4 linked regions of the Drosophila melanogaster genome follow. The protein of the gene in region 4 interacts with the protein of the main gene of each other region in a pairwise test. Each region holds a gene or a part of one and is shown on either strand. Other genes may lie near its edges.

Evidence for each region.
Region 1: the proteins of CG34188 (region 4) and CG30080 interact in a two-hybrid assay, tested with the Drosophila melanogaster proteins (one large-scale study listed by BioGRID).
Region 2: the proteins of CG34188 (region 4) and EMC5 interact in a two-hybrid assay, tested with the Drosophila melanogaster proteins (one large-scale study listed by BioGRID).
Region 3: the proteins of CG34188 (region 4) and Osi9 interact in a two-hybrid assay, tested with the Drosophila melanogaster proteins (one large-scale study listed by BioGRID).

The regions. Positions count from the first base shown.
Region 1 is NT_033778.4:15,695,908-15,705,047, reverse strand, and holds CG30080 (uncharacterized protein), read left to right. Parts: upstream 1-3,351; 5' UTR 3,352-3,372; coding exon 3,373-3,419; intron 3,420-3,475; coding exon 3,476-3,669; intron 3,670-3,724; coding exon 3,725-3,834; 3' UTR 3,835-5,184; coding exon of another isoform or gene 5,185-5,360; intron 5,361-5,429; coding exon of another isoform or gene 5,430-5,460; 3' UTR 5,461-5,894; coding exon of another isoform or gene 5,895-6,032; 3' UTR 6,033-6,322; downstream 6,323-9,140. Other genes in the region: CG46433 (uncharacterized protein), read left to right, coding at 5,185-5,360, 5,430-5,460; CG42662 (uncharacterized protein), read left to right, coding at 5,895-6,032; CG33462 (uncharacterized protein), read right to left, coding at 7,134-7,606, 7,669-7,847, 7,924-7,969, 8,024-8,228; CG33461 (uncharacterized protein), read right to left, coding at 8,570-8,985, 9,048-9,140.
Region 2 is NT_033779.5:18,985,846-18,992,630, reverse strand, and holds EMC5 (ER membrane protein complex subunit 5), read right to left. Parts: upstream 4,925-6,785; 5' UTR 4,843-4,924; coding exon 4,761-4,842; intron 4,696-4,760; coding exon 4,643-4,695; intron 4,575-4,642; coding exon 4,380-4,574; 3' UTR 4,338-4,379; downstream 1-4,337. Other genes in the region: CG15169 (uncharacterized protein), read right to left, coding at 519-1,556; CG15170 (uncharacterized protein), read left to right, coding at 2,404-2,476, 2,544-2,678, 2,860-4,337; Swip-1 (Swiprosin-1), read left to right, coding at 5,721-5,959.
Region 3 is NT_033777.3:6,257,187-6,264,925, forward strand, and holds Osi9 (osiris 9), read left to right. Parts: upstream 1-3,024; 5' UTR 3,025-3,226; coding exon 3,227-3,361; intron 3,362-3,423; coding exon 3,424-3,679; intron 3,680-4,152; coding exon 4,153-4,463; 3' UTR 4,464-4,919; downstream 4,920-7,739. Other genes in the region: Osi10a (osiris 10a), read left to right, coding at 6,790-7,249, 7,619-7,739.
Region 4 is NT_033778.4:15,424,697-15,431,892, reverse strand, and holds CG34188 (uncharacterized protein), read left to right. Parts: upstream 1-3,869; 5' UTR 3,870-3,918; coding exon 3,919-4,293; intron 4,294-4,346; coding exon 4,347-4,470; intron 4,471-4,544; coding exon 4,545-4,660; 3' UTR 4,661-4,802; downstream 4,803-7,196.

The sequences.
Region 1 (9,140 bases), 270 kb from region 4:
GTATTTAAAGTATTAAAGCCCAAGCAATCCATTGATGTCTGAATGCATCTTTCTAAACTCAAAGTTAATGCTAAAACGGAAAAGTTTGGATATAATCATAGGTATGTGAGTGTACTTAAAGTATAGTCAAAGGTTTTGAGCATAAATTAAATCAAATCGTGGACACATAATTGCACCCATGTTGCATACGTCCTTTAACTCTCTTCAAGCACTTCAAGCCACGGTGACCATATGCCAACCCATTGATCTCGCTTAATGAACACTCGACCTGAACTGACTGCACTCGAAGTGCCCTTGCCGTTGGCTCTTCTGGCAGATGCGAATGTGGATATGCGGATGTGCGGATATGCGAATATGTGTCGAGAGGGCTGAGAGCGAAAGTCACAGAGGCTGGTCCAACAATTGAGCCATTGAGTACCGATAAAGTCATTCCCGGAGCATTGGCATATATGCACTAAACTCCGGATACCAGATATATACATGCATACGTGCGGCATTAGTGGTAATCCCTAGTTTGCCAGATTGCGCTTATGCCACTCGTTTAAATTGAATTGCCACGGCGCTGCGCCAGCGACTTTTAATGCGTTCCATGCAAATAGAGGCGCTCCTTCAGCGCCAACTGCCGGGCACGGACAACAATTACGCGCATTATCCTTTCGACTGGACTCGGACACGGACACGGACACGAATCCGGATCCGGACGATAACACGGCGTTTGCTTAAACAAGCATAAATGCGAAGCGCTAAAAGGACACTAACAGCGAAACGGAAGCGAAACTGCTTAGTTCGCGAGTCGAAGGATTAATGCTCTACCAATATTTCAAATTTAAATTAAATAAATTAAGAAAATACAAGTTACGATGATCCCTTGACAGAATCTCATTATAACACAACTAGTTTTGTAACTTATAAAATATCTGAAGGAATACCACATATTTAATTAAGCTCATTTGTTTGGTACCAATTTAGTTTATAACTTTTAAAAATGTAGATATTAGTATAGTTATTTCAAATTAGCTTCTTATTTATGTAGCCCAACATCGTGCAGCGCATTGGTGCTCTGAAATTTTAATTTGGCTAAGTAGCAGGCAGTGACAGACAGTGGCACTAGGATGCGAATACCTTGTTAGTGGGAATCATTCGGATTCGACCCATAGATACCCTGCATTCCCCAGAGAATCGCGTGCCCTTGGACTTCATTTCGTGGCCCAGAATGACCCAACCTCTCATCGCCCTGCTACCCTGCGTAGCTCGAAAAAACGCTAATTTAATTTTAACTTTGTGCATCCTTTCCTCGGACCTTCTGCAGGACCTTCTCCGCTGCTTGTCCGTTTATATATATGTACTCCAACCGACTTGTGTTTGATTTCGCTGTCAGCGTCTTTGGCACACTTTTGCAGCGCATTAGAGAGCTCAACTTTGGGGGGAGTGGGGCGGAAAGTTAAAGTCAGAAACGGAGACGGTATAAGAAAAAATGAATCTCGAAACGGACGCGAAAGAGTAAAAGTAAAATATTTGTCCTGCCACGGCCATTGCAAGTGAACAGCGCTGATTGCGGCACTAAAAAGAAACGGGTTCTTGTGCGGCGATAAGATTTTCAGCATCACCATCATCCGACTGCCAACTGCCAACTGCCCTTTTCATTGCGACTCCCAACTTAATCGGTCCGAAGTTTGGCCATCGCCGTCTAATGTGCTTCGCCAAACTTTTGGGTCCGGCTCAAAGGCAGTTGGCACCTCGGACCACTTTCAGTTATTTACGCAGCGTCGCCTGAACCTGACAATCAGCAGCAATTTGCCTCAGCGCCTGGGATCCGCACTCGAGTCCCATCCACATCCACATCCGCATCCGAATTCTTATTCTTATTCAGAAAGCATCCGATAAGCATAACAGTTGTCGTCGTGCCGCCGGCTTACACCTTGAAATCGGATTTTTAGGGTGGGTTCAGTGATGAGCAAATAAGCAAAAAAAGTTAAATTAAAAAAAGAAGTACGGTTATTTATCAAAATAATTTTAAAATATTATTATCAAAAAACTTTTAAATATTATTTTGGAGTAATTTTTCTAATTAGATACATATCAGGTCATATTTTATGCCTTTCCAACCGGGAATGGTATTTTTCCATTAGCTGAATGGGTTTGAAATAAGCAAGAAAAAGGATATATTGGCACCTCTGGTGGGTTCGGTGGTTTCAGTGGGTGGCTGGGCGTCTGGCGGCGGTGCGCTGCTGCCAACAAATCGTCGCCAGATGGTGGCGACAATAAAACGTTTTACAATGTAACCAAGGCGACGACAAGGAGCAGGATCCGTGTGGCCATGTGTGGACAACAATGTGCAACAAAGTTCATAATTGTTTATGGCGACGGCTTCGATTTGATTTTTATGTCTTCAGGACTTGGGGCAGTGATTGAGTGTTGGTCTCAGGCCACAACCAAGGGGAAAAATGTTATAACCTCTAGCATTCAACTGTTGTAAAGAAACCTTAGAGTTTTTACATGCACCCGAAATTCAATTAAACAATTGTAAAGTAATATATTTAATGGTAACTCACAACTAGTCGTTTCACATACTTTCGAAACCATTTAAAACTTAAGTACGTGCATGAAATGAAACTTTAAATTCACCCTCATGCATCCATGGAATCTAAAGGTATAACATTATGGCACATAAGTTGCTTTTCGTTTTCTATTTGGCTTAATGGCATAGAAACATTAGGGATGAAATTTCAGACTATAATATTCCCCAACCTGCGGGCCCCGAAACTCCCGCCAGTCCGTTGGCTTCATTATATTGAAACTTTGACGTCGTTATTTTGCATAATTTACAGCTCGCTTGAATGCAGCAGCCAAGTATATTTCTATAACTACGCCGGTGATGGGCGGAAAATGCGGGGGGAAACTGCGCGTGTCGGTTGTCAACGCTACCTTGGCACATGCGAAACGTGAACTTCGAGACATCGAGTTAATGATTCGCACTTGTTCGCCCCCGCCACGCCTCCTTTTTCGACGTTTATGAGGCAGTAATGAAGTTGATTTATTACATTACACGACTTCTCGGGATCTTCGATTTCTTCTTCAGCTCAACGCACAGAGCATTGAACTCTGCATAGAAAATAGATACGAAAATAGACGCATTGTGACTGCAGAAGTAGCCGGCTGAACTCAAACATCTGTTCCGCTAGTTCCGCCGGATCGAACCATTTCCTAGATGGCTATAAATAGATAATGTAACGCCCTAACTCCAATCTCAGACACGCGTCTGCGATCGTCAGCCGCGACTGAGGGCTAAATTTAGAATGTGGAGAAGTAGGGCCCGCCAGCCACCCAAAAACATTAGTGTGGAGCTCCAACTTCAGTTTCCTTAGGAGCGCCATGGAGTGCAGAGCTGTTCCCATTCTACCCACCTATTCTCAAGCCTGGTTCGTAGTGCACAGTTTTGGATTAGCAAATCTACTAGTTAGTTTTTATTCAACAGTGGTACTCCTATGCCCCGGAAAACGTCCCTCTGCCGTACACTCTTTGATTATGGTCCTCTAAACGATCCGGTGATCATACTCATAACACTGGCCGTCGTAGTTGGATCCTTTTGCCTGCTCAGCGGATTCATTTTACTGTGCGTTGTCTCAAAAGCCTGGCAGGATGAGACTTCCGAGGCCATTCTCCTAATGGGTGAGTAACAGTGCTATTGAATTGATTGTTCCTATGATGAACTTTGGGTTTATAGCGATTGGCTTCTTCATCACGGCTTTGTCCTGCGTATCGTGGAAATTGACGCGAGCTCAACGAATTTCCCAGTTAGTGGATGCCCTCAGCGTAGATAACCAAACCATTTAGCTTGAAAGTATCTAACGTAAGACATATGAAAACTACGAGCTTGCAATTAGTTGCAATATACCTGATAAACTCTAAAACGTTCAACATTAGGGGCTGTCCGAAGTAAGATTGGTCTTAAGTTGTTTTTCCTATTCGCTTATGTTAAAGTACATGAATTATCTTATCAATGTCACCTATTTAATAATCTTGTTTGCTTTATAATAATATAATAATAATAATATTTAATATTAATATTAAAATATTAACCGAGACTCCCTGGTTTCGGACTAACTTAATACATAAGTGGGCTAATCAACGTGCCACCGCACGCAAAGGATAACCTCTCATTCGGTTTTGAAAGATTCAATTGCAGCAAGGCCATCCAAAGTCGAGATCCCATTTGAATCTCGCTCCCTCCAGTTATCTTCTGATCCCCGAATTCTCCGCACGAACTCTCACTGGCAATCAGCACGAATTCCTCACAGCAAATGAATTTCTTTGAAAGATTGGAATATCAGCATATGTCGCTTTGTTAAATGACCACTCACTTTAGAATTTGAAAAACAAGGGGCATTCCTCTTTATTTCCAAGTCCTTGGCGGTCAGCTGGTCCTTTGGCTTCGAAACTATTTTCGCGATGCACTAACATTCTCTGTAGTGTAAGCATTTGCCTGGCTTCTGATCGTAGGTGGTGCAGTATGTTTGATCTTGGGGAGGGAAACATTACTACAGGTCACCCCTCATCTGCTGGCACTTACAGGGCTTCTCTGTTTGGTTTCCAAAGGGAACTGCTTGTCCGGATTGTTGACCAAGTTTAAGGCATATGACCAGGAGCAGCAATTGCAAAACCGTCATTGCGCCACCAAGCTCTGATATGAACTGAATGCAGAAGACAGTCAAACTTCAGAGGAATCTCTGTGGATTATCTGATTACAGGTAGCTTGATTGCATATTGCAGTGATTAAATTTACAGAGAAACAAATAATGCTGCAGTGCAGGATAGAGAACATTAAATATTTATTTTAAATATAAAAAAGGGTGAAGAATGAATGCGTTGATACCATTTCTGTTAATATCTTTGTTTTCGGCTAACATAATTGTATCTTAAAGCTGAATTTTTACTGAATTAAGAGAAGATTTGCTCATCAGTCATATTACTAGCATAAAGAGGTTTTCGGTTAGATACACATCTAAAGAGTAAACCATATTGCGAATTGTAGGTAACAAGAATTTGATCCTCACTCCATCCTGCTCTTAAGGACATGACCTACCCCTGGGCATCTGGAGGCGCAAAGAAAATGCAGCTGCTTGCGCCCCTACCTGAGATCAAATAGTCCTTGATCCTCAGTCCGAAACGAGAACTCATCGAGAGATGCCACACTTGCAGAACATCGAGCGGGATTTTCCCCTTAACTGGACCTTGAATCCCATTCGGATCTCTAGTAGTCTCGCCGCAAATACTCTTTCCTTATATCGAAAGATCTCGCAAAACATGTGGCGCAGTTGTATTCAATTTTGCCATAGTCCCAAGTTCCAGCAATATGTTAGGTAAGTTTGGATACAATGATATTAGATATACATATAAAAAAATGTCCCTCCCTATATCGATTCTTCCAGATTCCTCGAGTCCAGTCTCTGTCAGTTTTAAAGAGCAATGATCCAAGAAAATGCGTCGTCGCCTCGTCTTCAAAACAGATTGCTTTTGATTTGCAATCTTGGCACGTTGACGATGCCAAAATTTGTTAGTTGAATTCATTATAGCGATACGCAGAGAGTCAGTCAACGATCTCGTTCCGAGAGGGGGGTTTCGCTTTGTTGTTTCAGAGTTCTGAAATACAACAATTTGTGGCATTGTAAAGTGCTCGTAACGCGATTGGGTTTGGGGCATTTCCAAGTCGGCGGCTGGGAAACTACCCTTGCCGCAGCAATTCCACCATCCAACCTTCAGTAGGGGGAAAACACCTCGCTTGGAGCTGCAATAAATTCCGGTCGCTATCAAGACGAGCGTTCAGTAACGTTTCAAAGCCAGACGCGCTAAGATTGCTAATTCCAAAGCTTCGACCAGTCGACGAGCATCAGAACATGGAGCACATTCGATTTGTTGACAAAGTCTTTAGAGCCCTGATCGCCGGCACCCTGCTGCTCCTGATGACCGCCATTTACCGGGAGGACAACAACTCCGGATCCCACTACATCCATCCAAGACACGCCATGCAGTAGCTCCATCGTGGTCTACTAAGATCGATTCAACCTAGTCCGATGCAATCGAATCTCTCGAAAGTGCGGCACAAAAACCGGTTGTGTATATTGCCGGCTCGACGACATATCGCCATATCAACTAACTGCACAAATAATGTTATGTTATATGTTAATAATGTTAATGTTAAGAAACATGTGTAATTATCTATAGCTCATCCCATCGTAACTAATCTAACTTATGTGCTATAATGTTAATACTTAGAAATTAGTTTTAGTGTGAAAATATAATATAAAATGCAATGTATATGAACACAACCATTTTGCTCAACTTGCAGATAACATGGGATCGGGAGGGCTCTGAAATATCGATTAGCAAGAGCTATTCGCACTCTTTGCAAAACAGGTTGCAATTTCATGCGATCCGAACTTGTTTATAGAAAACATTTTTAATGGGCCAATTTCAAACGACTTTAGCACGAATTTCTTTCTTTATCCGTGGCATACTCTAGAAGCTGACCTTAGCTAATATAAGCAATCACGTTTTGCTTATTGGAACAAGTGTTTTGAGCAAATTAAATTTCCGTGCAAAAGAGCTACAAGTGATATGAAGAACATTGGTACATACGACTAAGTTTTGCGGTATTTCAGTATTTTAAAATTGTTTTAATAAATAAATAAAAAATTACTAGAAAATGTATTATCAAAACTAAAAAATGTTTAATTATTTAAACATTACACAATGCATTTAAACAATTTTTCAATCTACATACATATCCTCCTAATTTTACATCACCAACGCTTAGCATGGTTTTCAACCAACAATGTAAGATCGAATCTTTTCTACATGAAATGTAACAAATATATGCGAAACTTGGCTAAAATAAAAAGTCTTGAAACTCAGATGGATTTGTTATATGTATAACAAGAAAATCATAATCAGTCAATTGAGATTAAGCCAATAATATTGTAATTTTTTTAAAAGGAAAACAAGATTTGTTGAGTTTCTTTGCTTAGAAACATAGAAATGTTAAATGCGACATAGTCTTTATTGTTCAACATTAAACTTTTTAATTTATTATATTAAACAAGGACTAGCAATGAAAGCTTACTATTGATATTATATTATTTCGGGTAGTAAAATACTGGAATTTTATCGACCCATTTCTTTAATGAACGGTTCATATCCGTCGAGGGTCCGTATTGCCGTACCACCCGTTTTATCCAGTCAGCGTAGCTCAATAGATCCATGAGAATGCCAGAGTTCTGGCACTGGCCCTTCACCCTGCTGGCGATGCCCAGTTGCACATAGCGGTCTGAGCCATTGTGCCACATTTTGCGGATCTGCGGAGCCCCGGAGTCGGTGCTGCAGAGTTGACTCAAGGTGTTGCCGGCGCAGATCTGTTCGAACGTCATATTCCAGCCATAGATTTCGGAGCACGTCTCTTTGGGTTGGCGGTCGATGTTCATGGTCCGAAGAACTTTGCTCGTTGCGTTAGCGGCAGTTTCACGCCAAACGGTGGTCGTAAACCAGGTGAGCTGGTCTATCGGCTCCTGGAAACGGTTGCTTGCGAAAATGCAAATCGGACGTATGTGATCTGCATATGTGAAATGCATCGATATTATAAAAATGTCGTACTCATATCCTAACTAGACACACTTAAGTACTCCACCCTCCTTCCGAGTCGCAGCATGCCGATGTCGTTGGTTTGGTCATTCGCATTATAATACCTATGCCTGAAGCCCATATCCACATTGTACTCCTGGAAGGGTTCCTGGCACAGGTGGTTGTCACAGTCCACCTTAGTCTTCGTGTTGTACTCTCCCAGGCGAACGGTTCTTTAAGAAAATAGTTTAATTAGATTCACACTGAGTATAATCGTAATATATAAATATGTTTTTAATGATTAATTACATTAGCAAGTCGTCCGGAACACAGTGAGCTGCCGTTAAGACGAACACTGAAACAGAGTTGCATTAGATCTGCACGACAAGTATATCATATGCAAACATACAGTGATTAATTAGAGTGCCAGAGCAATGGAATCCTTTTGGAGTTTCCAAATAGGCCATCCATGGATTCTGCGCCAACTTTGCATTTACACTTCGTTCAGAAATGTTATGCGGAATCCCGCAATCCTCTTCCAGGAGCATTTGAAATCCTTGCACGCGACGCCACAGACAGCAAATTACTGCGATTCCAATGATGAAGTTGCTCATTGCTTGGAGGTTCTTTCTGATATACTGAATTCTCGAACAGCCTCTGCAGGTTTTATTCGCTTCACAAAGTGGACCCCTTATCGCTGGTGCCGTTCTGGGAATTGCCTACAATGTCGGCAAAAGATGAGCAAAAGAACTTGAAAATATAATTCCCCATTTTATTTTTGCTTATACTACATCTTGATCTGTACTCATCTATCATTTAATTGTATGTTTTTTTATTAACAAATTGATAAAAAAAAAATATATATATCAAATGTAACTTGCATGCCCAATATAAATAATCAATGTATGTGTAATTTATTAGTTTTAGTATCTGTGTTTATTTTGAAGTATTTTATTCACCGTCCATACCAATCCACTACCTTTTTGATCCATCTGCCATATCGAACCACGTCCGTGAGAATGCTAACTTTGCTGCAATTTTCATACGTGAAGCTGGCGATGCCCATCTGGACGAAGCGTTTCATGCCGAAAATCAATACGTATCGACCTTGCGGACCACCGGAATCACCTCTACAAAGGTTACCATCATCATTTCCGGCACAGATCTGTCCGCTAAGAAAGTTTTGTTTAAAGATTCTGGCGCAATCATTTCTTGGTCGGCGGTAGAGATTCAGTTCCATGAGAACGCGGGATGACTTGGTATTCAAATCGGTAGACGTGAGACCCCAGCCAGTGGCCTTGAACCAGGTGATCTGATCCACCACCAACTGCATACGTCTATGGTGGAAAATGCAGATGGGTTGGATATGATCTGCAATCGAAAGATACATTATAAATGGAAAATCTTTCTATATCAACGTCCACTCAACCCACATGTGTACTCAACCCTCCTCTCCAGCCTTAGCATTCCGATGTCATTGGAGAAGTCCTTGGGATCGTATAACCTATGCTTGAAGAGCATATCCA
Region 2 (6,785 bases), on a different chromosome or scaffold from region 4:
ATATATTCAATTTTGGTTCCGCTGATCCGTGCTTATAGACACGCTTCGATGACTTAGCCAACTGCAGTCTAGGTTCTGTTGAGCCATTTTATATCCTCTAAATGATATGGTTTCAGGAAACGTACTCAAGGGACCAAATTTAAAAACCGTTCCCAGTATCCCTGATCCATTAAGCAGCTGCTGAACAATAATTATCTTGTAATATAAGTACTAGTTATGTTCTCAATCAAATGTTTCGCCTTGAAATGCTTTATTTTATATACATTTGCATATTAAGTACAGTATATTTCACTATTTAAGAAAGAAAACGAAAATCCCCACGCGCTGCAAATAGATTAAGTTTCGTAACAGAAATTTATATTAATTGGGCTTATGTATTTCATAGATAAACTAATTTATCTAGACAGACAGCGATATAATCTGCGATTTTCAGTATTAGTCATACCTATCGATTTTTAAGTATGCCAATCTCCATTTACTTTTTAATTGTTATGACTCAGAATAGCGTGGGTGGATTTTTAAAAAGCCACCTGCCAGCTAACCAAACCGATGCTCCAGATAAGGAATAGCACCCCCGGATGATGGGTGACTGCTGCAGAGCCCGGAGTGACTTCATATTCAGTCATGTTGTGAACATTACAATTGTCCTCGTAGCACGTGGGACACAGCTTCTCATTCTCGGCGCAATAGCGAGATAGCTCCATATCTAACTCGGATACACAGCCCCGATGCAGGAAGTACTTCTTCCCCGGAACGACATTGGGATCGTTGAGCAGTATGGTGCGACATCCATTCCTTTTGCCAGGTATCGGGCCGCAGTTTGACTTTGTTTCATTGGTGATCGTTTTGTTGCAGAACATGCAGGAATAGCAGCTTAGGGGTTTCTGTTCTGGATCTGCAACTGGGGGCTTGTGTGGTGCCAAGGTTGTTTCTTCTGGGGGTGGAGTTGTGGTGTCCTCCTGGGGCCCATCAGCCGGGTAATCGGGCGATCCTCCCATTGGTTCCTCAGTTTTGTTTGTTGGGTGAGTTTCCAGGACCTCCTCTAGTGAAGTTGATGGGCGAGTATCGGGAGTCACTGAAGAGTCTGAAGACGAGTCCGAAGTATCCATATGTCCGGACGATTGGTCTACTTTGTCGGTTTGAGGAACTTGAGTTGGCGCAAAGCCACCGGAATTCCCGGTGGATTCCTTTTCTGGCTCTTCTTTGTCCCCTTCTAATTTGTTATCCGTTTCCGAATTAGTGTCTAAGCTTGTGATTTCCGGTTCCTTCTCATCCTCTCCAGACTGGTGGCCTACCTGTCCAACTTGACTTTCAATAGATGACAGTTCCTGTGTAGGCTCAGGGTCATCAGTTGGACTTTGTGTTGTGTTCAAAAATAAGTGACTTTGTCCTAGGGATTCTGTGTCATTTTCACCGGCTTCAATGCCTGAGTTTTCTGACTTTTCACCCGCTAGTCCGCCGCTTAAGCTGAACTCTTCAATGTTGTCCTCCTGCGCCCTGCTCCATTCAAGGAGAGCAGTTAGGGAAATCCAAATGACCAGCAATCTCATCCGCATCGTGGTCACCGATCGGTTGTAGCTTCGCAGAGTGTATGACTCGGATGGCGAATGAATCTTGAACGGAACCCGCCGAGTGGATGGGCTTATCAGAATGTATCTTTCGTTATCGGTTTATCCCCGTTTTGAAGAGCTCTGCAAGCATGGGTATTTGCTCCGTTCTGGCCACCGATGGGTTTGTTATTCCCGACTTGTCCCGTGCCTGTTTAGCTGGCAACTGAGGTCGATGGTCATTAAGCCGCCTGGACATGTGGTATGTGTACTCGAATCCGCTGATTGTCACGCAATTATCCGGTCTCTAAATTAAATCGATATGTTGGGGCGGTCGCCGGACCCTTGACCCACACTTTTGAGTAGCTCCAGACTTTCCCGCAACAAATGCGAGCCCTTAAATTATTGATGATGTGAACGTTTCGATGGAACCTATGGGACACTCCGATAATGGGGTCAAGGCACAGAGCACATTATGGTCATGACATTTTTGGCCATTATGCATATGCCGGAATAAAGTTGGGTAACCTTACAACTGTGGTTGGGAAATTATCTATATCGAAAGGATTTCGTTAGGACATCAAGCAACTCTCTATTTTAAGCCTTAAAATAATTGAAGAATTTCTACCAACGTAAGTTTTTTATGGTGGCAATTTAAGAACACATTTAGCGAGTGTAACTTTTTATTTAAATGATAATGTTTGGTTATTTTAAAGTTAAATGGCTTTTTCCAGCTTATCCTTATCAACAGTTCGCCTATATCAACTCATTGTTATATTGTCTGATAAGTCATAAACAGATTAGGGATTCCAATTTTGCAAACAAAGGTGCACTACATTCTTTATGAGCTGTCAAAATGCGTGGACTGCAGACAAATCGCCACTCAAGCTTCCACCACCTGCTCCTCCTTTTCCTGGTCCTCCTGAGATGTGAGCTACCTGCGATTTCCCACGGAAAAATGCGTTGTAACCTTAGAGGGGTTTTTTTTTTTAATAGCAGACCGTTGTTTTGGCATTGTTTGCTACCACTGCGATTCCATTGCCCTGCCGGAATGTTCCCAGACCCTCGGAGAAGTGGGAGTTCTTCCCTACAAGGAGTGCGCTACCGAGCTGACGTGTGCCATGTCCATTGGTAAGTGAACCTAAATGTGATTTGTAATTGTTTCTAAATCGACGGATAGTCGGCCATTTTATAGAATCTATTTTTGCAATTCATTAATATTTCAAAGGTAAAGACCATTGATATTGATTGATACATATTTGAAATATTTAGTAACTCCGATTTTCTATACCATTAATCGCACACAAATTAGTGGACTCCATTACATACCGCGGCTGCGGAGCAGAAACCCCCATCATCGGAGCGACTTACTCAAAGACTTGCTCAACGAACCTGTGCAATGCGGGTGTCTATCCGCCGGGACGACTTAAGTGCCATCATTGCGCTGGACAGGAATGCGTGGCAGCTCCAGCATCCAAACCAAAACCCTGTCGCTATCATTTGGAAGAGGATCAGTGCTACACGGATGTCATAAGTTCTTCAGATGCCTACAGAGGTTGTACCTCCGAGCAGAATCACACGCTGTCCACTTCCGCCCAACTGTGTGAGATCAATGGCTGCAATGAGGAGCAAGGAGCTTGGACCCAAGTCTGCGCCACCTGCGATTCAGCAATCGGCCGGGGTTGCAAGATAGATCTCTTTCAGGTCAACACCGGCAGGTGCAATGTTAGCTTATACGAGGAATGCCAGCAGGATGTTCTGTTGGGTGAGCAAGAGGATAAGTACTGCTTCAGCTTTCGCAGACTAAGCCGCGTTGTCAGAGGATGTTCTACTAAAATTCCAACAGATTTGGAGCCGTATGTAGAGCAATTAGAAAAGTGTAATACCAGTGACCACTGCAACGCAGGATGCATTACGCAGCAGAAGTGTTTTACATGCAACTCCGTGGATCAGGAACTTTGCCGGACAAATATTACGGCTATAGCTAATAGCACTTGTAGCTCCGCTGAGGCCTCTTCCTGTTTCTCCTGTGAGTACTCCAACTGGAGTATTCAGCGAGGCTGTGGAGCACCGCCGGAAAATCCTCAAATCACCAAGTGCTATGAATGCGATGAAGGCGCTGGGTGTAATAGTAAGGATTTCACCCGGTGCTACCAATGCAGCACGGATCAAGCGGGAGCAGGCTGTGCAAATTGGGAAAGTCCTGGCGAAATCTACATTGAAGAATGCGATGAACCGGCTGCACCATGTGTGGTTGTTTCCTTTAACAACGCCACCACTGCGAGAGGTTGCCAAAAATCGGACTTCAGCTGTGCTTCCGCAAATGTGGCCAGTTGTCGACTATGCGAAGGAAGTTTCTGCAACAAAGGATCATTTCCGGAGGAGCGCCTCTGGTGTCATCAGTGTAGGGGAGTGCAGGACTGCGAGGAGATCTCCAGGGGACAAACGGCTATGCCTTGTCCGGCTCGAGCAAATGAGCCGGAGGATCAAGAATTGGCCTGCTTGGAGTACTTTGACATCAACAGTAAAGAAATTGTAAGAGGATGTCGTTCCAATCCCGAGCTATACTACGAATGTCTCTTAAGGAGTAACCACTTCGACAGTTGTCGCACTTGTCACAGTCAGGCATGCAATAATAGTCCTGGCCGGGAATTAAGAGCCAGCTATGAGCTGGAGGCCAAGGCATTGTCCTTGTTGCAAGGCAAGAGTTCCGCAATATCCATCAAATTTTCGAATGCAGGTTACGGAGTTTGGTTGATCTTTAGCGTTATCTATATTGTAACTTGCTGAGACTATAAATAAAAGGATAGCAGAACTTAAAAGAAAGGTCTCTTATTCCGGGGGCGTATATCCAGGATTTAAGGCACGACCACGGTGATTGAAGGAATAGAACGAGGGGAAGTTGCCCAAGGTGTCCCAAGTTTTCTGTTGCATGTCCACGGTGGCGCGAATTTCCTTGAAGTTGCCAACGATCTCGATGATGTTGTAAATCACAATCACCAAACTGATGACGGTCTGCAGGATAATCTAAGGATTGATAAAGGAAAACTTTTCGTGAGTAACCATGCAAGCACCCTAAATGCACCGAAACCTACGTCCAATGGAAGGCTATTCCATTCCTGCTCCGTCAGCCTCAAATAGGTGCGATCTGTGGAGTAAATGCGGCACTTAGTGGTCCAAAGTTTATTTACCACAACAGTGACGAAAACTTACGATGGGCAGCAGAAAAAGCAGCATGTGCCAGGCTGGCAAATCCGGCAATTAGCAAGAGTTTGTTAAACAGTTTACTGCCCATTTTTATTGAACAATTACGAATTACAATCACAGTCGGTACAATTTTCTACAAAATTTTGCTAAATTGCTATCAAAATGCGGGCACACCTAGGGCTGGGAGCTTTGGACGATAGTTTAGGGTTGTCTGTATACCTCATATGCCGTAATATATTTAAGAATCTTAAATTTAAATATTTTATTGGGAACAACATTAAAATTATACAAAGATTGATTTTGTGATCAAACTAATTATATAATTATATTATAACTATATAAACATACAATAAATATTCGGTTACATATTTTGCTTAAGAAAGTTAAAAACTTTCGTAAAATTTGAAACCGTCTGTTCATCAGCTAGCTTTAAATAATGATTATATACATTATTAGTAACAGAATGAATTAAAAAAATTGTAAGGTATATATATTGCCTCGAAATTCAGCTGACTTTGGTATTTGTCAGCACACGGTCACTCGAAAAATGCCGCCGCGCCCGCTGGTATATTTGAACGCTCGTGTCACGGTCGCACTTTCATTCGTCTCTCAGCGTTCAGAAGATTCGGTAGTCGCGGCGGTCGAAGCGGAACACCAGTTGTCCAATAAGAAAGCCAATTTGCAGCAAAAAAAAAAAAAAAGACCGGCAATTCAAACGCACCTTGCAACTGTTTTTTCAAAGCCAAAAAAGGACTCAGGGCCACTCCCCACGACAAAAGCTTACGTGCAACGAGTCCGTGTGTGTTTTCCTGGCGCATCGCCGCATTTGTGTGTGTATCCGGACATCTCTTTTACGGTCCTTTTTGCGTGGGTGTGCCAAAAGGAAGAGAGAGTGAGAAGGCAGCAGAAAAGGGCAGAAAGGGAAATTCCAGCACACTAAAAAGCGAGTCAACAAGGAGCGACACAATGTCCGTTTCCTCGAACGCCTCATCCGCCTCCAACAAGGACAGCGTGGACAGCCCCAGCAGCACCACCAACACGGACAGCTCCGAGCTGACGCACATCCTCAATCGGCGCCAGGAGATCATGGAGTCCCAGGAGGCGGGCATCGAGGTGCGTCGCACCTACAAAGTGGTCAACGTCTACACCGACTTCCCCGAGTTCTCCCGTAACCAGATCAAGGACTACCAGAAGACCTTCAATACGTAAGTGAAGGCCGCCGAGCAATATTTACTTTTGTCCAGAGCCACTTTAAGGCGCAATATAAATTATATTAATATGGCGAAAAGGAAGCCAACATTTTGTTTATTGTTTTTGAAAACACCTGAGCAAAATCCGTTGCAATAATAATAGTTTATGATAAGTAACGATCATCTCTAGATTATTAAATAAATACAGTGTACTAGACACACTTGTATACATTACAAACGTTTGTAAATGTATATCTATTACACAAGATAATTCAAAAACAGAAATCAGTTTGCAAAACTATTTTAGGGCTTTCAATTTGCGCCAACCTTTACACTCCTTTCACCTGCAACGGCCACTTTCCCAGGCATCTCACCGCATTTGCGTCTCATTAAATGGCAACATAAAACTCATGCGCCTAATGATCATTTAAATTGCATTTACTGCAGCCCCTCCTGCAGCCAACCCACCCCTCCCCTGCCCCCCTGGGCAATGGGGCATGACTCACAAGTACTTGCGGAGAAGTTTTGTCACAGTCACTGGCTTATTCCCAAGTCGTGCTCCCGTCGCGCGGATCATGAGTCAAAAGTGGTTTTCTGCCCCAACACTTTCAGGCGGATTCAATTATCACACCACAGTCGAGCTCCCCTAAGTGCAATTTCTGTTAGCAAAAGCCAATCTTAAATATCGGTAATTCCGTTCAAAGTCATCATTCGATTATAGTGGCAAGGAAAAAGCTTATCCCACGTTAATACTCGTAATTCATTGAAACATTCTTTATTTATCTCTAAGGTTCTAATGCTCGACCTTAAGACTTAATAGCACCCATAGCGGTTATCGAGG
Region 3 (7,739 bases), on a different chromosome or scaffold from region 4:
TTTCACTTTTGGGCCACTACACGAAATATTAATGAGCTGCTGCCGCTCAGTGTAGAACATTGAACCTGGCCAACGACGTTCCCAAGCCCCTCGCTCACTTATTCAGTTTGTTAGTTGTGGGCGCCCTTTGCTGGCGCACCACTGACGTCATGGGGGGACTTTCATTAATTGAAAATTACCCAAGCGCACCAGAGGCAGAGGCATGTAAACAGCGCCGGGCTGCAAACTAGAGCCGGAGCTGAGCTGGGCTGAACGGAGCTGCCTTAACCCGGAATTCCATTCCAGCCAAGCGGAATGAAAGTGAAACTTTGAAAAGGTGTCAATTTTGGAGATGCCACTGAAAAGGTTTGGGGCGGCTAAGCGGGTGGGGCCGCAATTGAGGATTGTTTGCTTTGAATGTGCGATGCTTTAAGGCGGTTTTATCTCTAGAGCGAATATTTCGCATGCTTATTTGGGTCAGCCAGCGAAATGGCCAACTATGAACGAAGGAGCCATCAGAAGATAGCTTGCGAATTAATTGAGCGCACTCTATTGAAATGACTGGGCTAAACTGAAATATTAATACAACTAGTTGTATTAATATGAAATAAACTGCAATTACTAATACGTTTTAAGAGTATTTAAGAGCTTTTCTCCTCAATAAAACCATAACTTAAATTTTAATGTTGTTTCTATATTGCATCACTCAATGTTTAAAGTGGCGCAGTTGAAGTTGTATAAGATGTTAGCAATTAAATTACTTTTTCACTTTCGTTGCGCACGCACAATGCTAATAACTTGCATCATATTGACTCTTTAACACTCTAACTGGGACACAAAAGACGTACTTCACTGGGTTAAATATTTTGATAATTTTTATGTATATTATAAATATTAAGTGTGAAAGACAGAATAAACAATTTTTTCCATATTTCTCCAATTAGCTTGTGTGTAATAATGTAAGAAATAAACTATTAAATGGTTGTTTTCAGTCCGAAGCTTATGAAATATAAAAAAAATATATATTAAAGGTTTTCTATCAAAGATTTTTCATGTAAAGATAAATATTTAGAAGCATATTTATGCATATTATATCACGTTATTATTATCATTATAGATAAATCTAAAGGATGGACTGAATTTGAAAAGGGCCATTGCAGAAAGGGCATTAGATGAGACACATCACACATCGTGACAGTGGCTGGCATATCCAAATCCAAATCTACATCCACATCCATCCATATGTTCACGTGCACGGCATTTACATATTCCATCAACGGATTTTGGGCTCATGTTGCCGCTTTGGATAATCGTCTGCGAAATGTCGAGTGGCTTTGCATCTAGATGCGAGCTGTGTGTTTTGTGTCTGTGAGGTTGTTTTCGGCAGCATGCAAATTTGCGGCGTAGCTTTCTTTCGGGGCACTTGCTCGTCTAATGCGTGAATTACCGGCTAACGATGAGCGATGGACGCTGGACGATGGACGATGGACGATGGACGGCGGAGCGATGGGGCGGCAGGCAGACGTGTGGCAATTTTTGAGTGCTGCAAATTAAAGCGACATAATGCCAATGAAACTCTAGTGCGACAGTCGCTGTGCATCCGTCGACGGCGATCGGATTGGCATACAAAAGTGCAGATACATTATGCGAGATGCCCGCTGGGGGCACAAACAAACACATAAATAAAAAGCAAAATTAAAGTGAAATTTCCTCCACCGTGCCGCGGCAGCGCCAGCAAACTAGTTAATTTTCTATTTTACTCCAATTCGAGTTGCGGTTGCTTTCGACCATCGCCGGCCATCTTAAATGGCGCTCTTGATTAACCACCCACCGCCCACTCCCGCCGGACTACCACTCGTGTGTGTGTGTGTGCGGTCTGTGTGTAGGCAACTGCAATTTGAAATGAAACCGCTGCTGCCGGCACTTTCTGCTGCACTCGAGATTTACACAGTGCTGAAAGTGTGCCATCATCAGGTGGCGCCTCAAAGGTGCATCAAATACGTTAGCCACGTATTACAGCTTGTTACATTTTACCTGGGTCTGCTGTGTAATCAAATAGTCCAGAACTAAATAACAACTCACAGTCCTTCAACCAAATAAATATGCAAAAGATTTGTAAAAAGTGGAAATACAGGCAAGCGTCTAGTTGGGAAACAAGCGGCTTTCAAGAGCGTATTCTCCCTTTTGCAGTGAGTTAGAAACCTCACATGATTTCAAAGGTGTTGCAAACGTATTGTGTGCAAAAACACAACATAAAAGTAAATATGTAATGGAAAATTCTGTTTATTTTGAGCCTTTTAGCTAAGCTGATCCCAGTTGGAAGGGTTAATTAAATTGAATTTAAGCTGCCAGTTATAATAGCATATGCCGTATTCTAACTCTGCAGTGACCTGCAAAGAAAAATCGCTCCTTTTAAAATGTATTTTGAAAAGCTGGCTGACTTAATCCAGGTAAGGTACAGTTGCACCCTTGTTTACGAAAAGTATTGTTCTAAGCATTACCACATAGGATTAAGATTCTTATAATTCCAAATTTTATTCTTATAAATTTAATTCACAAAGCTTTCCCTTAAAGCGACACGTAATGCAAGAAAAATCAATATTTAAGGGCTGGCCGATCTGTCTATTGGCCCCCTGAACAATTGGCCTTCTCCTTGTGGCAGGCAAACAGCTAACTGCCGCCGAAGTGTGTTGACAAACAACAACTGCCAATCCGACGAACTCTGCCAGCGTAAACGGCGACCGCGCCACCGCGTCCACTTCGGCGCACCTGTCCAGTTGTCGCTGCAGCGCCTTGTATGGCCGGCCACCAAGACTGTGCGACTCCGAGTGCGACTTCGGCTGCAACCTGGCCAGGTTCGTGGTCGGGTTGTTTATTTAAATTCTAAGCTCGGCTACTGTGTGCGATGGGCCAAGCGGGGCAGTCGGGGGGCTCAGACCACTTGCGGAGCGCTAAAGCGTCAACGTTGTCGTTGTCGTCGCTGCTGGCCAACGCTGCCGCCGCTCTGCTGGCCGGGAATAAAACTCGATCCGCGTGCGTCTTCTAGCCACAGTTTACCGGTTGCCTTCTGACCGACAGATCGAACACGCCAATCGAGCGCAGTGCACTCAATCAAGTGAACACACACACACGCATCCCCGAATCGCCAGGAAGTGGCAGGATATCAAATCAGCGCAGCAGTGTCGAGTGTTTGTGCGAAGCATTCAAAAAAAAAATAATACAAAAAAGGAAATACCCATCACGAGCCATGTTCAAGTTCGTGTGCCTTTTTGCGCTGATTGCCTCCACGGCGGCGGCTACCTCGGAAGCGGACAGCTTGCTGACCAGCGCTTTGAAGATGGTCAAGGACTGTGGCGAACGGTCCATGGTCTTGTGCATGAAGGTAAAGCATTTAGTTGCCAGTAGCCCGAGAGAAACCTATCCTAATTCATGATCCACCCAAAGGAGCGAGCCCTGCACTACTTCGATGCCGAGAACGGGGATGTGCGGCTCACCGAGGGCATTGCCCTGGTCAAGACCGATGAGATCCCGGTGGGTCGATCCCTCAACGAGATGCAACTGCCCGAGGAGGTTGAGGCCCGGGAGGCCGAGGTGGACTCCCTGCTGGTGGAGCGCGTTGCCCGCTTCTTCGGCACCCACACGCTGCAGTTCAAGGTGCCCAAAGACTCCATCCAGGACATGCAGCGCGCCCTCGAGGAATGTGAGTATCTGGCTAGTACCCATCGAATCCCACATAAATTACAGTTCTGGTCTGGCCAAGACATTGCCTATTTGGGTTACTAATGCAAGCGACCAGTTCGGGCAGATGGCTCTGGCACAAATCCTGTTTTCACTGTTAAGTCTCCGCCATATCGAGGTCATCCTGTGATGCAGCCAGATGCCCACATAGGCACATGGCCACATGGCCACATAGCGGTGCATTGGCAGCTGGTTATCCAGATAGTTGGCTATTAATTGCACTTTAGTCAGGCAGTTAGCAAGGCTTACTTTCTTTTTGTGCGCAGCGGCTGCAATTTCCGATTTCCAATTTCTATGCGCAGCCACATAGAAAGCGGTCGATCCTGTTCGCTTGCTAATTATCTGTGCTCCAGTTGCTAATGAGCGGACAGCTCCGCTCCAGCGAAAGTAATGCAAATCATATAACTAACTACCAAATCGTTTCTCCCCCTGCAGCTCGCGGCAAGAAGAAGGAGAAGAAGAAGTACCTGATGCCCCTGCTAATGCTCTTCAAGCTGAAGATGGCCGCCCTGCTGCCCCTGGCCATTGGCTTCCTGGCCCTGATCTCCTTCAAGGCCCTGGTCATCGGCAAGATCGCCCTGCTGCTCTCCGGCATCATTGGGCTGAAGAAACTGCTCGAGTCGAAGAAGGAGAACTACGAGGTCGTTGCGCACCCGCACTACGAGCACGAGCACAGCTACGGCCGCTCGCTGCCATCTGATGACTCCCAGGCCCAGCAGCTGGCCTATGCGGCGTATAAGCAATAAGCTGCATGCCAAATATTCTGAATGCTGAATGCTGAGGCAACCGTAATCAGTGCAATACTCGGAGGGCCGTCTAATTTATCTATTTATTTAATTTATTTGTATAGCATAGTTCATGCCAGGCTTACACACTTAAGGCGCCATCAAGAGAAATAGAAGGAAAGGTAAATCCCGAACCCACACAAATAGGTCTAAGGAATCAGCAGCTAGGGACTGCCGCCAGAGGGGAACACCTGGCGTCGTTTAATCTATTCTTAAAAATGACTGCCACTGTCGTATTAATACTCAGAGCTTTATTATTTAAAACTCTACGCTTAACTTAACTTAACTCAACTGAACTCTTAACCAAACTATTAAACTAAACTGCCTAACTCTGAACTGCCGCTAGGCGCAGAAAAAGCCCCCCTGGCCAAGCCCTCCCCCACACAAAACAATAAAAGAAATGCCGCATTTATTCCGAACATGTGTATTGCTGTCTTACTGTTTCAATCGAATATCGCTCATACGCAGCGAATTGCTTTCACTCTTTCACCGGCTAAGGCGAACTAGGCCAGCAATATCAATTGCATGGGCGACACACAAAATCACGGAGCAAGATCGCCGGATTTCACTTGAGCCAGCTAGTCAGCCAGTCAGCCAGGCGTAAAGCGCAGCAGAAGCCTCTTCCTCGGTCTCGGTCAGTTATATATAAACACATATGTATATCCAATGTCGCTCCAGAAACTGGCTCACATCTCGGCATCTCGGGAAAATCTAATGAATGTTGCGACCTGCTTTTTTGTTTTTTTTTTTTTTTTTTCGCACACGCAGTGCAACACGTACGCCCCAAACAAATTAGGTGTGTGGATGAGAGCATGGATTCCAGTTCCAGCTGGGAGCACGCCCCGCGGCTGCAATTTATGGCCGTGGCCTGGCATCGCCATTCGGCATATAAATGGCCAAAGCCGACAAAACCCAAGGCTCAAAATGGCCAAAAGGCCAGGCCGCCGCCTCGTACGTCTTTTATTTTTTGTTGCTAACTATTTGTAAACAACTGCAGGCAACTGGCAGTGAATTTCAAGTATTGGCGGTGAAAGTGTTTATTAATACAATTTCTTTTCTGTCGCTGCGCTTTGCAATAGGAAATTTATTAGCTGTCGGCCATTGCCCGCGACCTGGCAATAAAAGAAAACAAACTTTTGTAAAATTACCAAAGTTTTCGGCGACAACCGCACAGGCTAAACCGTAATTCCAATGCCAAAAATCCTTAAAATTGGCCTCGAATGATCGAATAACTTGGGAGGAGTCTAAACTTCTCGAAACTTTATCTTCTCGCCTGTCTACTCAGTTTTGTCAGGGGAATTGGGGTGTTCTTGAGTTCGCCAAAGGTCTTGGGGTGCTAAGTTATCAGAGACTTTCATAGGGGGATATTCAAATTTCTCCCACAGCATTGACTAGGAAAATACTCACCTGTTTTTGCTGGTATTGCAGTCAAGTCTCTCTTGACGTGCTGGCATCACCAAACCAAAGTCTTAACTCTTACTGGCTTCGCCTAAAAGTTTGCTAGGACTTAACTCTCGAACTCAGGGGATTATTCCACTGATTTGTATGCCGTTTAGCTTCATTGTGAAACTGGTTATTATGGTAAAGGAAACGTACATCTTTGTTCTACAAGTAATAATGTAACGTTCTGAAACTTTTTCGATGTTTAAAAAATACATGTAAATAATATTAAAACGAGAATAGTTATGGAACTAAAAAATGTATCATTATAAACCTTTTTGGGTTCGGGTTTTCCTTAACACCCAAACCAAGTTGATTTCCCAAACGTAAATCGGTTTCCCTCCTTTCCGCTTGTTTGTTTTCTTAATTGACTTGTGGCAATTTTCAAGTTTTTCTCTGTAAACGATTGAACATTACTGGTAATTCCCTAAGCGACTCCGTTCATTTAATGGACCGGCATTAGCAATGGTAATTGTAAATATTCCGCGTGGTCCGAGCGGTGGCGCCTCCAAGTATTTCATAATTCCTGTGGAAATACAATAACTGCTTGCATAATGGGGGAGATGTGCGAAAAATTGGCCACCAGTCGCTGCAGCTTTGGGTCGTGTGCACTGACCATGACCATGCCGGCTTAAATAAGAAGCGGCCCAAGACGAAGAGCCCCTGGTTGGCGTTGATGTACAACAATTTCCGTTATTGGGCCATGTGCAAAAAACAGCGCGTTAACTGAATGAGAGCAGATTTAGCCAAAAGACCAGTCGGTTATTGTATAACAAGATTTGGCGGATATAAAACAGAAGGGTCAGTTGGCCAGCGGGCTCAGTTGAGATCAAAACACTCGACCATTATGTCGCCACTGGATATCGTTTTGCTCCTGGTCAGTTTCCATCAAGTGATTGGCAGTGACTTTTCCGCCATGAGTTTGGAGTTCAAGCAGTGTGTTCGTGGATCACAGAAACCGAAGATCGGTGAATGTTTAGGAAGATCCGCTCTGAACTTCATCCAGAAATTAGATGAGAGCGATAACGTAAAGTTCGTGGAGGATTTTGTGACAGTGAAAAGTGAAACAGCTGCAGTCAGATCTCTATCAAATGTGCTCGACACGGATCCAGTGGACTTCCGCGGTATCCTCGAGAATGCTGGCGCAGTGATGGGTCAACGGAGTATGGAGTGGCATATGGACGGCCTTTATCCTGGACTTATGTTCAAAATAGGTCCCACAGCGGATGCGAATAGTGTGGCCGAGTTCGTCCTCGATGGAGCGGCGCAGGGAGAGCGACAATTTGGATTCGAGGATCCCTCAACCGGTATGCTTTCAAAATCGGTGCAGATAATATTATTAATAGAAACCAAACTTAAGCGAAATATATATTGAAATATTTATTTATTTGAACACTGTATGCTTAACTTATAAAACTAAGCTGAAGTATGGGTATCAGCCATAGCTTTTGGCTGCATATAAATTGATATTGAAATTGATATCAATTTATCAAATTTAAATATTTGACGAAATTTGAGTGTATTTCAAGGTGAAGTTTGCAAAATGTTCAGAACATTTCTTTCAAGTGTTAGTCCAACATTTTTTGTTGTGCTTGGTGAAGAAAAACGTATGCGAGCCAAAGACATTATTAATATACATATATATTTTTTACAAATATTTATTAATACATTTTCAGGTCGCGTCTTGACCAAGCAGTATTTACTGCCCTTTCTTCTGGGCTTAAAGTTCAATCTGGTGGCCCTAGTACCCCTGATATTTGCTGGCATATGTCTGCTGCTCAAAAAGTCATTATTTTT
Region 4 (7,196 bases):
AGAGGCAGGAGAATGCAGTGGCCAGCTGCTCTGTCAATCTCACCTAAAGGAGAAGAAAACTCAAGCAGCTCGGCCTCGCGTTTTTCCATTTTCTCTGATTGTTTTCCTTGTCGCTTTGTTTGTAATGGTCGTCTTTCGGATGGCCATAAATTCCTTGAGTAGGCACTGCAACAACTCAAACTCAAACGGCAAAGACATTCGCATTTATCATCTTTACGGGTTAACTGCCAAAAATGCTTTGAGGCGCCCTGTGGAAAGTAGAAAGTGGGTGGAAAGTAGAAAGTGGGTGGCAGTACGAGTGGAATTGCTCCATGCCTCACCAAATCCACAAAGTCAAACAATGTTGTATGCTTTACTAGTTTTATCATTGCTGCTCTGGCTCATCGCCCCACCTCCACCTTTGCTATCGTGGTTTTCCCTGTTTCCTAGCCATATTTTTGCTCATCTTCCTTTATCCCATTTCACCCAGGGAATTTCGACTGCGTTTATCTTGTTGAGTAAGGTGAACAGAACACGAAGCATAAACTATGAATGTCAGATAAACAGCCGTTAGCTTCGCAGGACCAGCAAAAGCTGAAGGATTTGAAGGGTTCGCATTAGTGGGTGAGCGAATTTTAAAACCATTAGGTCGTTTTTGCTTTTCAAACGAATCCTTTCCGTCCATAAAGAGTGAACTTTATTGGCTTGGCTAGCATGGCATACTTTTGACGCAATCGTAAATTCCACCGAAATCGCCAAGGGAAGAATAAAAATGTTATTCGATTTGCAACGACAGCGAGCGAAAGCAAGGCCATTTCCTAGTAAAATTAATAATGGCAACACAAACTGTTATCTAGTTCAACTTCCATACTCGCGAGTAAAAATTGAAGCTTTAAAAAAGGAAAAGATTTCGTTAAGACTGCTTTTCAAAATTCTAATCACATTAAATATATAAAAACACCTTAGATTCCTAATGTTTTAGAGACGAAGACATATCTTCTTATTATGTCTCTATTTCACGTGCTTACGAATATTTAATTTACATGTAATGCGAGTGAAACTTAGTTTGTGCTTAGTGCTAAACTCGGCACATGTATTCAGTTGCGGATCAGATTTATCTCTCCAGCAATAAAATATTCAAGACACAAGCATATCAACTTACGATTTGCCTGTCCTTGCACTTTTTCTACCAATTTCACAGATTTCCATCAACTTGGCTCCTGCTGACAGGCGAATACTTCCCTACCAAGGAGCAGCTATCCGAGGGGAATACAATGGCAAGTTCTCGTGGCTGGCAAAACAAATGACTAGAAGAGGCTAGAGCAGCATTTCTGCTGATTTTCAAATGAAATTTTAATGAATGCAAACACACTCACATGCAGATATGCCATATACCAGATACCCATGGCGAGTGCCAGGAATCGAAACTGAAACTGAAAACTGAAACTGTTTTTCGTGCCATTCGTGCGTCAACGAAATGTGAAATCTCCAGAGCGCCAAGCGGCCAAAAATCTGTCTGTCCAAGTGTCCATCAGTTTCAGCCAAACGACCCCGAAGGCACTCCCACTTGGCCTCCAGTAAAAGCAGCAGTGTACATTTACAACTTTTTTAGAATCAGCATTTGGGACATTAGTTGACTTTTTAAAAAAATTCTTATATTTTTTTTTTCTAATTTTGTAAGAGAAAATGTAAAAGTTTTAGCTAAGATATGTATCTAATGCCGTGGAGCATACTTCGCTTGACTTAAGATATTTAACACATGACATTTTACAGGGTACCTCAAAGTCGACTCACTTTGCTTCACCGTTTTTTATTTGCATTGGTGGCTGTGACCCTGCCACTTAATTATTTATCAGCCAACAGCGAGAACCTTCAGTGTAAAACTGCAGAACTGCAAAACATTTTCTCCTCGTGTTCATTCACTAAATTAGTTGAAGCATACATCCGTTAGATACGATTCTGATGATGAATGGGCGGTCGGTTAATTGATACCGAAATTCGCAAATGAATACCCATTGTTCATTGTTCGGTTCGTCCTTTTTGGCCGCTTGACTGCTGAACAGACTGAACAGGAACAGGTAGTGGGCAATTAAAACGGCTGAGGCTAAGGGATTTGCTCCTGATTCAGCGCCATTGTGTGTGAGGCGGTGCTGATGTCTTTAATTAAATTTGCCTTTAGCCGCAAATCCTTTTATGCCGCCGCCATTTTGCTGGGGCTTCCTTTGGCATTTGACTTCGCCTTCGTCTGATGCCTTCCCAGTGTTTTTCTGTGCGGATTCCAAGGATGCAACCGCAGTTGCCCCCGGGCATCCCCAGCTCCTGGCGAACAGCGGCGGCATCTTGTGATTTATTATTAAACATGAATATGAATTCCTGGATGGAATGTGCTAGGCGAAGGCTGCAGGGGATTGAGACGCGAGAACTGAGCAAAAGAAAGAAAACGCTGCCAGGACCTGTTGGCATTTTTATGCCAGCGTTTTTATGATTAATTAAAATTTATGCCCGAGCAAATTATGCTTCCAAATACAAAGACCCATAGACCCATAGAGCCATAGACCCATGGACCTATAGAACCGCATGCGTATAAATATTCCTATTCAACGCGCGGGCATCAATTCCTTGTGGACATCAAGTCGCGTGATTAAGATTAAGAGGATTGTCATAAAGAAGAACACAATTTGGGCAACTTAATTGGTGGCACTCGAGGGGCGAGTGGTGAATGGGGAATGGTGAGTGGCGCGAAAAAAGCAAAACTATGCCGAATGTCCGGAAAAAAAAGTAAGAGCATTTCATATTTATTAAAGCAATAAAATAAAGTAGGAACCAACACGGTCGTCGCCCAGATAACGTGTCAGGACCCAGAGAAATATCACCGTGTCACCCACACACCAGCCTACACCCACACAAGCACTCGTCACACACACACACACACACACACACGCACGCAGAAAGAGACACTCCCACGCACACCACCATTGTAGCTTTGGTTGCGGTTAACGTGCAAATTTGTGTGCTTCCGTCACGATTGGCCTACGGATTTGTCGTAGGTCCCTGGGCAAGGATTCGACTCGAATAAGTTAGTGTGGGCAGGGCCATAAATTTAAAATTAACCCTTTACAAAAGGAGCACAGCTTTTGACCTTCAGTCGACGCGCGGCAACATGCTTAACCATAAATCCTAGGGACCGAAAGCCTCTTCTCGAGTTCTGCGAAATTAATCTGCTTTGCAGGTGGCCCGTTTGTGCATTTTAAATCAGTAAAAATAATTCCCAGTCACAATACGATTAATTAATTGAATGAGTTTCCACTCTCGAGCCAAATGGAATAATTCAAGCATATTGGCTCGGATGGCAACCGATAAGGGATATTCGCAGCAAAATGTCATTGCAGTAGCAGCACGCCATACAATAATAAATAAATGGGAAATACGACTTGGCTTCGGGCATTTTTGAAACAGGGCCGAAATGAAACTGAAATGAGGGAATAAGGAACGAAAGTCGAACGGACTGACTCAAGTGGTTGCTTCGCAGTCAAGACAATTCGAAAAATGCTTTTAAAAGGAAATCAGTAAAGGAATTTCGCTTATGGGCAACTGATTGTGCCATCGAATCGGGCGGAACAAGTTGAACAAGTACCGGAGGGTTTGGCGGAACAGGATGGAAGCGATTTTTTGTTGTCCGCTTTTGCCTTTATTTTGTTTTTCTCTTTCTGGCTGAAACACTTGGAAAATTGAATTGTTTTAGATTTTCCTTCACTTTGGGGCTCTCCCTGCCGCAGCGTATAAATCAAATTGGATTTTCTTGTGCACTTAACTCCGATTGACCGAATCGGAAGTAAACCCAAAACTCAATCACAGGCTATCGATGAAAAGTTCATTAGTAGGCTGGCAACGAATTGTTTAGCGGCATTTATTTCAGTAATCTATTGAAATCGGTTGAGGATGGCGTATATTCGAAATTTTCTGAATTCCCCCAATGACTGGACCCGACTTAATGAAAATATCAATGGAATAAAGCCACTGAATAGCTGCTTTTATTTCTTCAGCTTGAAAACGGGCTGCAATTTGATCGCCGGATTCGAAGCATTGGTAAATGTGCTACAAATGTGCAGCATTTACTTGTCGGAGATGGAGGTCAAGACCACAATCACAACTACGGAGTCACCGGATTCGATGCTTGTCACTAGGGAACCGGACGGAGATATGCTGGGACCCAACATGAGAACGCCTATGTTTGAAACTAACCTCTTCTTCCAAAAAGCACTAATCTCGTTGACTATCTTCAGATCAGTGCTACTTATTGTAGGTGCAGAATGGGTAAGTAGCTTTCATACGAGTTCAAATAATACATAATACTATACTCTTTCCAGAGTCACATATCCTGTCTCGTCCTTTGGATTTGTATTACGGTTATAACCTTGTTAATTAGCACTTGTAATGATATCATGCAAGATGACGAGCTGCTGACTTTTCTCTTTTCTACCATTTCTATTTGTGAGTAAAGAAGTAGTAGTAGTATGTGTATACCCCTTCTTAACCCTTAACTTTCGTTTTAATACAAATTTCAGTTCTTGAAATCTATTTCTGCGCAGTGGTTGCCTCCTTGGTTTTGAAATTGCAGCAAAAACTTCGTCGTAACGTGCAGGAATCGGAAGTGCTGTTCACACGAATGGAGGAAGTTTAATTAAATTCAAGATAATTAAACTATACATTTAAATTTGCAAGCTCCTACTTACAATTATTTAATTTTTACTTGTGTTGTTGCATTCCCAAATTGAAAAAGCATGTACTCATAATAATTTGGAAAAAAATACACAATATACTGCAATACTTTGTCATTTTCATATCTAAAACAATGCTATATAATGCTGACTTAAAAGCGTTTTTAGCTTAGTTATATGGTAAAGCATATGGTAATTTAAACAAATATTTCATTGGTAGTTAAGTTATAACATGCCTGGCCACTACAACCAATTTTTGAGCTACATATGTATGCACAGATTGCTACTTAAACATGCGTTTATTGTGGCTAAGTAATTGCATTTGCATTCAAAATCATGAAACATACACGAGCGGCGCGAAAACTTGCACATTTGCATGGGAAAATCCAGCAAATGTGCACACTGAAAATATAAAATATCGGGGTGTAGGAATCTCAAAAATTGATTGCACTGGCAAATTGGACAGGAAACAAAAGGCTGAAACGCTCGTTATCGCGATAACGAGTATTTCATCGTCGAAAATTGAAACCAAATATTGAGAGTATCGAGTTTAAATTCAAATTCTTACTTTTGCGTATGGCGATTTTTTGGGCGGTTCTCGCGAGGAGGTGGCCGCTGCTGCCGTGGGCGTGCCGCGTTTGTTGGGCCGATTCTTTTTGAGAACGATAACGCGCATGATGTGGCAGATATATATATATTTATTTATGTATATATTTTGTGAGAGAGGGGGTGTACGTGTGTGCGTGTGTCTCTCGGCTACTGGTATTTATTTACGCAAAGTGTTTTTAACAAACAACAAATTCGAGGTGTCGCCGTGGTCGCTAGTCTCTCTTTCAATTTTTCAAGTGATGGCCGTTCACAAACGGATTTCCACTCCTCGCGACATCGAAGTCGGATTAAGATATAGCTTTCGGATTTGGATTCGGATGCGAATTCAGATGCGGATACGGATGCGAAGTGTGTTGTGGGTGGTTGGTAGTTGGTAGTATTTTGTGGTTACAAGTACGTGTACGGGTGCTATTGCGACTGCACCCACATTCGGGTGGTGCGGTGCAGGCACAAAGGTCACGAAATTACAAAATGCAAAGCGAGCCGAGCCTCTAGCTCTAGATAGATTTTTACATAGTTGATGTTGCAATTACTGAGTAAGAATAGGTTAAACTACATCTAGATTAGCAAAGAGTATTGGTTATTTACAGTACATACGAGCTAGCTAGATTGATTGAGTTGTGTTTTATTGGCATTAGTTTGCACTAGCTTCTGATTGGTGAAATTAAGCGCTTGGCCACGAATTTCGACTACTTGGCTAGAAATTTGTTGTAGAAGGCAGGCAAAAGATTTGAAGTAATTCTGGCAGTGCTACATTAATTCGTTTTTTGTTTATTTATATTCTTTTCTATTTGTTTTTTGATTCGAATTCGTTGGGCGCACGGTGCGTATGCGTGATTGGTTAATAAAGCTAAGTTATTTTACATGGACTGTCGACTAGTTGGTTGCATTACTATTTTGATCATCGTTTGGTTACTTACGCGCTGCACTCAATTCAATTTATCTTGTGTGTGGCTATCAAAATAGAGAACAACTCGCCTAGAAAAGCCTGCCCTGAACTGCGCTCTAAAATTATGCATATATATTAGGAGGATATATATATATATATGAATGGTGTCTGTTTTCGGGATATATATATATTAATATATTTCAATTTTATTTGGATTTAAGGTTTGTGTTTCGTTTGCATTGGTTTCTTAGCTAGCCCCTCCAATTGCGCGATTGGCAGCCAATCGCACCTCAGTCGCGACGAAAAACGACGACGACGGCGCGTTTACGGATACGGATACGGCTGCGGAAGTACGGCTACGGCTACGGCTACGGCACTACGGCTACGGCTAATTTGTCGAACGGATCACCCAAGAGCGGAGCTGGCGAGCCGCGTTACGTATACGTCGAAGTGCAAGCACGTGACTGACTCGGAGCGACCGTTGCACGCTGCTTTTATAAACAGCTACATCGGGAGATGGCTCGAATGTCTGGCAACGCTTCGCATGCAATTTTCCGCGCGCGCTCTCTCTCTCTCTCTCTCTCTCACTCTCTGTCTCTCTCTTGCTCTCTCTGAAGTGACTTTTCCGAGCCCTGTTCGGCAACAGCTGATTCACTTGCAGGCCCAGAGGTTGAGGTTACAGTCAAAAGCCTGATGGTTTTTCCCAAACTCCCACGCAGTAATAGTTTGTCACACCAGAAAACACAGAAAATCGCACAGCACACGGTGTAATTTTGACTGAGTAACTCTCTTGTGAGGACCGCAAAAAAAAAACAGGGACCTAGCAAATGCAGGACAAAATCAAGCCAAACAGCCGCACTGACCACGCACAAGCTAATCTACCGCAGGACTAAGCGAAAGGCGAAGGACGAACCTGACCCACAGTTGGCTCCTGCTGGCGGCTTTCAGTGCTCCAAAAAGCGAGGGAGATGGCGAAACGCTTGGGTCACATGCGCAGTCGC